Arabidopsis thaliana: one gene and its partner. The protein of the gene in region 2 interacts with the protein of the main gene of each other region in a biochemical or structural test. Each region holds a gene or a part of one and is shown on either strand. Other genes may lie near its edges. The genes, in order: DCP1 and MYA1.

Region 1 (5,003 bases), 3.4 Mb from region 2:
AATTTTGAGGTGCTTTTTAGGGTATTTTCTAATAAATTTATTTGTTTGTGTCAAAAATGAATTAAAGCTTTGAGAGGAACTGGTTGAGGAGAGATTTGAACGTGGTAGGATTTGGGCTGATCGGATGGCTAGCTCCGTCGAGCATTCCAGCGATAAATGGGAAGAGCCTGACGGGTCTCTTCTTCGATAGCATCGGAACTGAGCTCGCTCACTTCCCGACTCCTCCAGCTCTCACTTCACAGTTCTGGTTGTGGTTGGTTACGTGGCACTTAGGCCTCTTCCTCTGCCTCACTTTCGGACAAATCGGATTCAAGGGCAGGACTGAAGATTACTTCTAAGGATAACTATTCTTGTTTTCGTTTGTACTATATGCTCTCTCTTGGTTATGTGTAATATTATCAATCAAAACAAAGCTTTCTTTGCTATTTGATGTTTCATTCTATATCTCGACAAGTCTTTCTTATATGATCTTGATTTTAAGAATGTCTGTCAGTCTAACTAAAGTATTAAATGTTAAAAGCGTTTCTCGAGGGAAAGCTCACAAAAGATTGGGATAATACTTCAAAACGAAACATCACAATACGTCTTTGACTTGAACCATACAAACAGTTTTTGTCTTGCAATCTCGAATCTTTTAAAAAATAGAAAAATTATCTCTCTTTCTTCTTACTCTTTCATGTTTTTTGTATTAATCTTGATGTGTATATGTTCCAATAAACTCTAAACATGCATGAAGATTTGTGAATCTAAAGTCTTTAACATGTCTTTCGACTACGAAACAAAAATTGATGAGGAAAGGTAAAAACTTGAAAGTAGATAAAATGAAAAAGTAATTCCAAGAGTTAAACAAAGGGGGCAGTGCAGTATCTTATAAGGTTCCAACAACACTTTCAGAGGGAACAAAACTACATTTTAACTACACATTCTAGATCAAACAGCCACTATCCCACACGTAGATGCTGACCAGCGCAGCTTCATTGTTGAAGTGCATTTTGTAAAGTTCGGGTAATCTTGTCAATGAATTCATCCTCCTGTCAAAAGCAACTCGTTAGGTTTGCACAGCAGCTCAAATAAAGTGATGTGGTAAAGGACGAACCTGCAACAGGGATAAAAGGGCTTCCTTCACTTTGTCTCTGCTGATAACCGGACCAGTGGGTGCAGGAGCGAGTGATGGTGGTGGAGTTGGGGGTGGGAAAGGCTGGAGCACCGGAGTACCATATGACCGCTGCTGGTGACTCGCATTATTAGGATTGAGAGGAGGAGCAGTGGGCATAGATACACCAGGAATGAGGTGTGGCTGTGCCATCATTCGTGGGGGGCCAAAGAAAGACGGCGTCACCAAATCTGTGTGAATGTTGGAGTTGCTGCTGATAACTTCAGGGTTGTTGTCAAAGAGAGTCATCAGAGGAGAGGAGGATTGTAGAGGCGGTGGTGATTGTATCTGTGGAGGTGCTGCTGCCGCTACAGGAGGAGCAATGGTGGGTTGGTGAGGCTGGTGAGGTTGGTGAGGAATCGCTGATGATTGGTAAGGTCCACTTGCTGACCCACTCGCAGTGTTCCCAAGATTCATCGTTGACTGTCAACAATTTAGATAAATTCAGTGTTACAATTTGAGGAGTCTAAGTTGGACCATATACTACGCTGAAGATAATTCAAGAACCTAGAAGGCTAGAACTAATAGAAAGCCCTCCTGCCATTAGTCGTATAAGATGCTGTCATGGTGAAGATGATAGTGTGAGTGTGTAACAGAAGCTTTAGAAACTTACGCTAAAGAAGTTGACAAAAGCAGGATCATCAGGGGCATCCCTAGCAGTTGATGATGGTTCAAGAGGACCATCCATAACTGCCATTGTAGGCTTAGCTTCCAATTCCTCAAACTCACTGCAGTACATAGAAAATCTAACTTAATTTAACAAGTAAGAGATATAACAGCGGGAAAAATGATTTAGATTATCAAGTTTCCACCTCAAAGAAAACACATCCAAGAAACAACTAATGGTGTACTAACTAAATCTAATCATGAAAATATTACCTCTTTGAAGATGAGGCCTTTGGCTTCTGGTTAACCTTGGAATATGCACTGAGTATTCTGTCATGCCAAGGAACCATTAGGCAGAGATACAACGAGTAAGAGTAATTTCAAGTTCATACAAATATACAAGAACATTATATTTGCCAACAAGTAACTGTCTGATAATAGGCAAATAAAAGACGATATTGATATTATTCATGATCCAACAATTGAAACCAACAGTTTCTACCTGATATGCAGTGACTTATATATACATACCTGTTGAAAAGAGTTGCTACCTCCTCGCATTCACGTTTATTGTAGAACCAAATGCCATTTACTTCTTGAGATGCATTACGGTAAAGTAAATATGGACCTTGTACTTCATACTCAAAATCTCCCAGGAGATTCTCCACCAGATTATCTATCCAGACAAATACAGCAACACACTGATGATTACTAATACTGAATCCTTAAATAAGAACTTGCAATATATTACTAAATCTAAACCTTTTCTAGACACATGACACACACCAACTTTATTTGAATAAATCCTGACCTGTATTACGACGATTCATCACAATAAACTGAAATCGAGGTTGTGTACTTCTGAAAGAAACAAAAAAAAGGATCCAATCAGATTTGAGAAGACGATTAAAGATAAGATACACATAGTTAAAGATCGAAAGTAGTAACCTTTTGACAACAAACAAAGATCCTTCAACGTCCTTACGACTCTGAATGACAAAAGACAGATCAATCATTAGGTAGGGAAGCAAACATCAAATTATGTAATCGAAGATTGATTGAGACTAACCCATTGGCTGAGCTCAATGTTGAATTCATAGAAAGTGACATGAGCGGCTGTGATGAGGATTTCCTCGATGTATGGATCGATCCGCTGGAGAACTGTGAGATTGAGGAGCCTCGTACTGTTTTGGTCCAGATTTGGGATTATCTTCCCGTTTTGAGACATCTTTTATAAATCAAAGATCAGAATTTTGGGAAATCTGGATTCGATTTTACCCTAATCGGAAGAACCCTAGAATTCTGATTTAAGGTAGCTGAGAGATTTGGGGACGGAGACGAAAACGCTAACTTTTGGAACGCACTTCGCTATTTTGTTGTCTGCTTTGGCAAAAAAAAATGGTAATTTAGTTATAAAACTTAAGAGAATAAATATACTGACCATAAAAGCATTAGAGTTTGCTTCAAAAATACATCATTAGAGCTTGCTTAAGAGATTATAAACAACATTAAAGAAGAATATTTATTCAATTGGAGTATAATCAGTGGGTTGATCCTTTTAATTCAAAGATCAATTACTGCATAGTCAATAGAATTTGGTTATGGAACAGTCCACGAGGACAATTTTCAAATTGAAAACGAAAATTTCTGTTTTTATTCACATCTGTGGATTGATTCGTCTTTGAAATAAGCACATCTAATTCAAAGATAATATAAGCTACAAAATCCATTAACCAAAATCACTGCAGTTATTTCAAATTATCCAAACCAAAAGCTAAAGAGGAGAGTAGCAGCACAACTCTTACACTGTTTAACAGATATGTCTGAAACAAAAACGAAAGGGTAAGAAGAAGTGTCTTATAGCCACCAATTTTAAGTAGGTGAAAGCTCAGAAGATTCTTTGTGGTGGTCCCATTGTGCTCTTGAGGTACAAACACCTGACATTTTGCCAGTTCTTCTTCAATAGCGAGACGAGGAAGTTGACGCTCATCTGCACATTCTGAAAGATCTGCTTCTCTTCCATTGAAAGGTTACCAACTGCAACTCCCATGCACAGAACCTTCTTCAGCTGGAACTTCACTGTTGCCTTTGTTTCATTCACCTTTGACTCCAAGGATTCCTGGTGGCTCACAAGAGTTGGGAATTTTCCTGTGTAAAGTAAAGCAAAGGAATGTTACTTAAGAATCATCAAAGAAGCATAATCTCACAGGATAAAGGATTGGCATTGTATCAAAAAGACATTGACAAAAGAAATAGACTACTAAAACCTATCCAAAATCAAAACGGATGTAAAGAAGAACAATGGAATATTAGCTGTAGCCAGAACTTGCCTGCCTTGTTAAGACCAGGACCAAGAAGACGAGGAATCTGCTTAATGACAGACTCAGAGGCCAAGAAAGCATGGTATTTCTTTGCAAGCTTCTTGACGAGTTTCTTGTTCTTGTTAAGCTTTTTTAGAGACTCAACATCCATGTTTTCCAACCCCATCTTCTCAGCCTACGAAAAGATACAAGATGAAATAAGCAAATATTTAATTATGCAAGAAATGAAGCCTAAATAAACAATGACCAAATTCCGAAAACATCATGCATCTACATTCAGAAGACATATACAACATCAAATGAAACTAATAGAGCCACCAAATGAAATGAGCACAAAACCATTATACAAGAAACAGAGCACAAAATGATCAATTTCCATGAAAAGATATATCACCTCTTCAACATGCTGGGCATCTCCGAGCATGCAGATCTTCATTTTAGGACGGGGGATATGTGGTAACTTGACAGATCCACTGAAACGCTTGTCCTTTTGAGGGTCATAGTTCTTCAGACCGATCTGGAGCTCAATAGTCTCGACAAAGTTACGTTTCTTTGCCTCGGATTTCCCTGTGATAGTAGTGATGGCTTCACGAACGGCCTCACTCTGAAGCTTACTGTATTAACCCACAAAGAACAGAGTTAAGCAAATTAACTAAACAAACAAAAATACACAACATTGACAACCTCAACATGAACAACCCACATTATAGACACTACCATACAAAATAATCTTATCTTAATACACCTAAATTTTTATGAGGCAAGATTTAGATTTGTCATCCAAATTTAGAGGCCTTAGTAAAGAGCATTTATGCAAAACTGCAGAACAACTTCGTGTCAATCCTAGACTATTAACATCATAAAGCTATCAATAACGCACATCCAAAAAACAATCACGATTCAGAGACGTATTGTTCTCTAAT
Region 2 (5,287 bases):
ACGAAAATGGATAAACAGATTCAAATATAGTAAGAAAAAGGACCATACATAAGTAACTCTGCCGCCATATTAAGATGACTTCGGGAATCTTTATCCTTGATGACAGATGAATCTATCTCTTCCCCCTTTCCAAAATCAATGTTACCAAGATGAAGAATTGCAGCAACCACCCTGAAGATTGCCTCCTGTAAATAAATTACTTTGGATGTCAGACTCTAACATGAAAGTAGCAGAACGGAAACCTGACCTCTTTAACACATTAGTTTCAGGACCTGTTCTTCGTTACTGATTCCAACTACATCCATAGCTCGTCTGGTTTCAAGGTATTCACTAGCATCATCAACACCATCCAACTTATAGCAACTTGACTGATTTAGATAATGAAATTTATGTGGGTTTTCCAGCTTGTACTTCTTTATATCCTGCAAAATAAACCCGAAAATAGAAGAAAAAAAAATGAGTATGATATCAGCATCGGATGACATGCACTTAATGTGTCAATTAGAAGAAAACAAATTATAAGATACCTCCGGCGGAGCAGCACAAAGAAGATAAAAGCAATGGTAATTCCTTTCGGGATCTGAGATTTGGCAAACACGGGACCTCTCCAGCAGATAAGTCCTAATAGCTGCCCCAGATATCCTTCCATTCTTGTCAAATTGGATTTCAACAAATTTACCAAAACGACTGCGAGGTGGGTAACATCAAGAAGAATGAAAAAGGTCAAGTAACAATGAATACGATTTTCTTAAGGCATAATCGGAAGAACAATTAACAACATTAAAAAAAAAAACTTAGGAACCAAGCATTTAAGAATAAATCCTAGTATGAACTGTTTCTAATTAATGAACTTAGCTGATAAGCCCCAGATTTGGAAAGATGAAGAACGTACCTTGAATTGTTGTTCCGTAAAGTTTTTGCATTGCCAAATGCTTCGAGAACTGGATTAGACTGCAATGTGCCATTGGGGATATACACATTAAGCTGTATACAGCCATATATGGAATCATCCTCATTTTTCATGAAAAAAATAAACAAACCTCTAAGACTTGCTGTTCAACTGTCCTTCCTTCTACACCAGACCTCCCTCCCAAAAAGGCAAGGTACCTCATGAGCATCTTTGTCGTCTCGGTTTTACCAGCACCACTTTCTCCACTTACCAAAATCGAATTGTTTTTCCCTTCATTAATCATTGCCCTAATAACTTACACCGTGACCAAATCAGTAAATTATCTCACGAAATAGATAGAAGTACGATAAATTGATGGACGTGAACATGCACAAACCTGTATGCAGCATCCCCAATTGCAAAAACATGAGGACTTAGTTCTCCAAGTGCAATTCCCTTATATTGTTCCATCATATCAGTTTCATAAATATGAGGCAGCCTTTGGAATGGATTAACTGCAATTAGGATATTCCCTGTATATGTCTACAGAAGTAACACAAAACTTATTAGTATCATAGCTTATACCAAATGATTTCCTTTGCAGCAACAAAAAGTAAGAGATGTTAGAAAAAAAGGATAAAATATCTTACGTATATTTCATTAAGTTCATATCTTGTCTCAAGGTTTCGTAAGACTCCAGGCTCATGCAAGTATGAAAGTTTTGTCATGTCATCTACACCTCCAGATGGAGCTTCAGTATCCTTGGGAAAATATACGTTTGTCACAACCTGAAATCCATACAACATGGGGATATGTGAGGAGAACCATGGCCAACAAGGAAGTGTGAACATCTATACTTGACAGCAAAGAACTTATCATGAAAATATATCATGTGCAACAACATATAAAATGACAACGTAAATCATGTTTTTACGTCTCATGCTGCATCTTATCACATTAAGCTGTTTCCCTATCACGTGTAACGGTTTCAATAAAATTAGCTCTCACAACATATCAAGATAACTGCCGACTAGAAAGCCTGAAAGCTTCATTTTATGCACTCCATATTTCTGAGTATAAACTTGCCTTAAGACATTCAGTAAATACCAAAAACGTTCTTTGAAGGTATTTTTCTCTATTTATTATGTTACTTGGTTTGATCAAAACACTAAAAGCACAATAACCTACATCTACCTTGAATGCAGAAGGTAAAAACCTGCCGATCTAGGGATATAACGGGACTATGACAGTATCCCATTCCAAGATAAAACGTAACATTAATCGACATCTAAATTTATCAACGGACTTATTCCTACTCTTTTTTAGCCTAAACCCAAAGGTCGAGGCCACGTACAAGCTCATTGATTGAAGTAAAATAATAAAGATGTAACCTTATAGAAACTTACGGTTTTCCCCTTCTTGGTTTTGACATGAACGTTTATACCATCTATTCGAGTAACTTCTCCATCTATCCATGCCAAATGTGGATCTTCAACCCACACATGTGAACCCACAATTATGACTGGAGCAGCCTGCAACCATTGCATTTCATTTAACAACATCAAAAACATACATTGCCTCTAAAAGAGTTTACAGGTTCAAGGGGCACATAACATCTATTTTACAGCTTTAGGCAAAATTATATAAACGAGATTTTAATTCAGGCAAAGAGCAAGCTTCTAGAACTGAGCTAGACATAGTCAAACCAAAACCTTTCAGAAGTAAAAACAACCATAGATCAAGAATTAGCGTCTCCATACAGGAAACAAAAAGGGGTAAAGCAAGCAAACGCAACAACAACATTAACGAAACAAACAAGCAAGGTTTTCAGTTTTCAAATAAACAGTTGAGCAAAGAGACCGAGATATCTCTTAGAAACATAAAATGGTATAGAGATATATTTGAATTTACCATTTGAATAGCAAGAGGGGAAAGACCCCAGATGAGGAGATTAGAGCAGAATCAATCAACTTGTGGAGAGACTTGAGAGTGATAAAGTCAATGACTTTTCACCGGAAATCTCAGGAAAGGAAAGCCCTTTTTTCTTCTCCGGTGAGAATTTGGTAATCTCTCTCTCTTATCGCGGTGGAGAGTTTCAAAAAAAAAGGCGTTTCGTTGGAGCTCCGCTTGGAGAAGCCATTTGGGGGGTTTTATTTTGTCTCTTGTCTGATACAGATTACTAGTGGGTCCCAGTGCTAGCTTCAAAATGGACGGCATCGGTGAATTGTTCCACTTGATCAACCTCTTCTCAGCCGTTTAACTTCTTGATTTAGGAATTTTTCATAACATTAAGAAACTTTGGATTTTGTCTTTGTAAATGCATGAACAATCAACAAAAGTAAAAAGTTCGTAGCAAAAAAAAAGAAGAAAGAAATGTTTGTTATTAGGGCATCACCATTGTTTATTTTTGTTAATTAAGAATTTCAGATTTTGTGATAAACAAATGTTATAGTACATGTGGAAAAAATGTTATGGCCCCTGGTTTTAAAATGTAGGAAAATAAGGTAAATACGAAAAAAAAGGAAAAACGTAGGCGGCAGGATTCGAACCTGCGCGGGCAAAGCCCACATGATTTCTAGTCATGCCCGATAACCACTCCGGCACGCCTACTTTTGACAACGTCACCACTTTTTTACTATATAATTTAATCCATGAGTAAAATCATTACAAGCCCAAATGATCGCTGCGACAGCGAGTGTGTGACGTTAAACCCTAAATCTGGTGTCTTTGTGCAATCGCAAGATTCATTCACTCTCTGCGACACTAAAGATCGAAACTTTTGAATTGCAGAAATGGCGACAGCTTTAGCTTCCAAGCTCTCCAAAGGTACATTTTCATCTCTTAATATTATTATATTCGATAAAGTTTGGTTCTTTAAAAATTAGATTTTTTGCAACATTGATTTAGTATAAGTTTCGAAATGAGCTTTGAGTTTTTGGGTTTGTGATATGTCATGGACTTTGCTTTGGTTCATGAAATGCAGACTCAAGATTAAAACTTTTTTGTTCTTGTTGTGAATGTCACTAATTGTTGGTGATGTCGTTATATGATTCATCGACAATATGAGTAGGACGTTCATTGCTTGGAGGTCTTTGCAATGCTTTCTCTGGTTTGATGAATTCCTCCTCCAATGGAATGATGAATGGAAGCATCCTCTCTCAGGTCAAGCCTCTTTTCGCAAATATACGTCCTTGATGAAACTTTCTTCATATGCATTCGTGGGGTATAACCTGTGAATTGTGTGTCCTGATGATTTCCAATTCACAGCAACAACATAGGACATTCATTCAAATGGGGACGATTCTCAAATGCGTGGATAACTCGTGTGCTAAAGAGGTGATGTGCATTCAATCCCTGAGAGGTAAGAAAGGAGCAAGACTTGGCGATATCATTGTTGGTTCAGTGAAAGAAGCTAACCCAATTGTTCAAAAAAAAGTAAAGAAAGACGCTATCCCAAAAGGTAAAGTGAAGAAAGGGATGGTCGTGTACGGTGTGGTTGTGCGTGCTGCGATGCCTAAAGGACGTGCTGATGGAAGCCAAGTCAAGTTTGATGACAATGCCATTGTAGTTGTTGGCATTAAGGAAAAGAAAGGGCAGAATAATTCACATGGTTCCAAGAGGAAAATGGAGTACAACCAACCGACTGGTACCCGAGTGTTTGGTCCTGTCCCGCACGAGATGCGCCTCAGGAAACAGCTCAAGATCCTTTCTTTGGCTCAGCACATTGTTTGAGACAATACACCACACTAAAACATCAGTTATGATCTCCTTTATGTGACTCTCTTTGATCCATTCATCACTTGGGTTTCTGTTGATTCTTCAACTATCCAACTCATTATTTTTGTTAATTCTAATGAATTATGAAACCTTAACGTACCAATTATGATCTCTTATTTAGGTTTCTTTTAATTGTTAAACTCTACTCTCTTAGTAAAAAAAGCAGGGGAAATAGCTTTAAACAACCATCCTTCTCCAAACCCTTCACTTAGTTTTCATGTTTGATACAGCATCCCTCATTAAACACTTTGGAATCAATATTACCTGTTGTATAACAATAACAATAGAAAAGACAATAATAACTCTTTCACAACAAGTATTTATATATAATAGATTACAGAAAAGTATTAAGGTGAATGTGACATAAATTTCAGTTACAATTCCTTAAGCCACATCTCCAATATTACAACAACATATCCACCTACAAGACTCCAAAGTAAAAACATTTCTTCTCTATTCTTCTTATACATAACAAACATACACATTCAAGTCCATGAGAAAAAGGAATGGACTTCAGCTATGCATCAAGGTCTTAATTCTTCTTCCCCCCAACATTTCACTTCTTATTTTTATGTAAACTTGTGGAAATTTTTTCAATAAATAAGAAATAATAAAATTATA

What was found.
Region 1: the proteins of MYA1 (region 2) and DCP1 form a complex in vitro, tested with the Arabidopsis thaliana proteins (one study listed by BioGRID).

Annotation. Positions count from the first base shown.
Region 1 is NC_003070.9:2,636,339-2,641,341, reverse strand, and holds DCP1 (decapping 1), read right to left. Parts: upstream 3,306-5,003; 5' UTR 2,988-3,305; coding exon 2,829-2,987; intron 2,749-2,828; coding exon 2,708-2,748; intron 2,621-2,707; coding exon 2,571-2,620; intron 2,436-2,570; coding exon 2,291-2,435; intron 2,090-2,290; coding exon 2,033-2,089; intron 1,882-2,032; coding exon 1,767-1,881; intron 1,577-1,766; coding exon 1,097-1,576; intron 1,032-1,096; coding exon 975-1,031; 3' UTR 679-974; downstream 1-678. Other genes in the region: PSAO (photosystem I subunit O), read left to right, coding at 68-338; AT1G08360 (Ribosomal protein L1p/L10e family), read right to left, coding at 3,648-3,907, 4,090-4,255, 4,475-4,694.
Region 2 is NC_003070.9:6,036,969-6,042,255, reverse strand, and holds the start of MYA1 (myosin 1), read right to left. Parts: upstream 3,007-5,287; 5' UTR 2,804-3,006; coding exon 2,801-2,803; intron 2,422-2,800; coding exon 2,296-2,421; intron 1,678-2,295; coding exon 1,540-1,677; intron 1,433-1,539; coding exon 1,287-1,432; intron 1,198-1,286; coding exon 1,041-1,197; intron 952-1,040; coding exon 893-951; intron 688-892; coding exon 528-687; intron 423-527; coding exon 273-422; intron 186-272; coding exon 49-185; intron 1-48. Other genes in the region: HLL (Ribosomal protein L14p/L23e family protein), read left to right, coding at 3,682-3,715, 3,960-4,051, 4,157-4,621. UniProt on the Arabidopsis thaliana protein: Myosin heavy chain that is required for the cell cycle-regulated transport of various organelles and proteins for their segregation.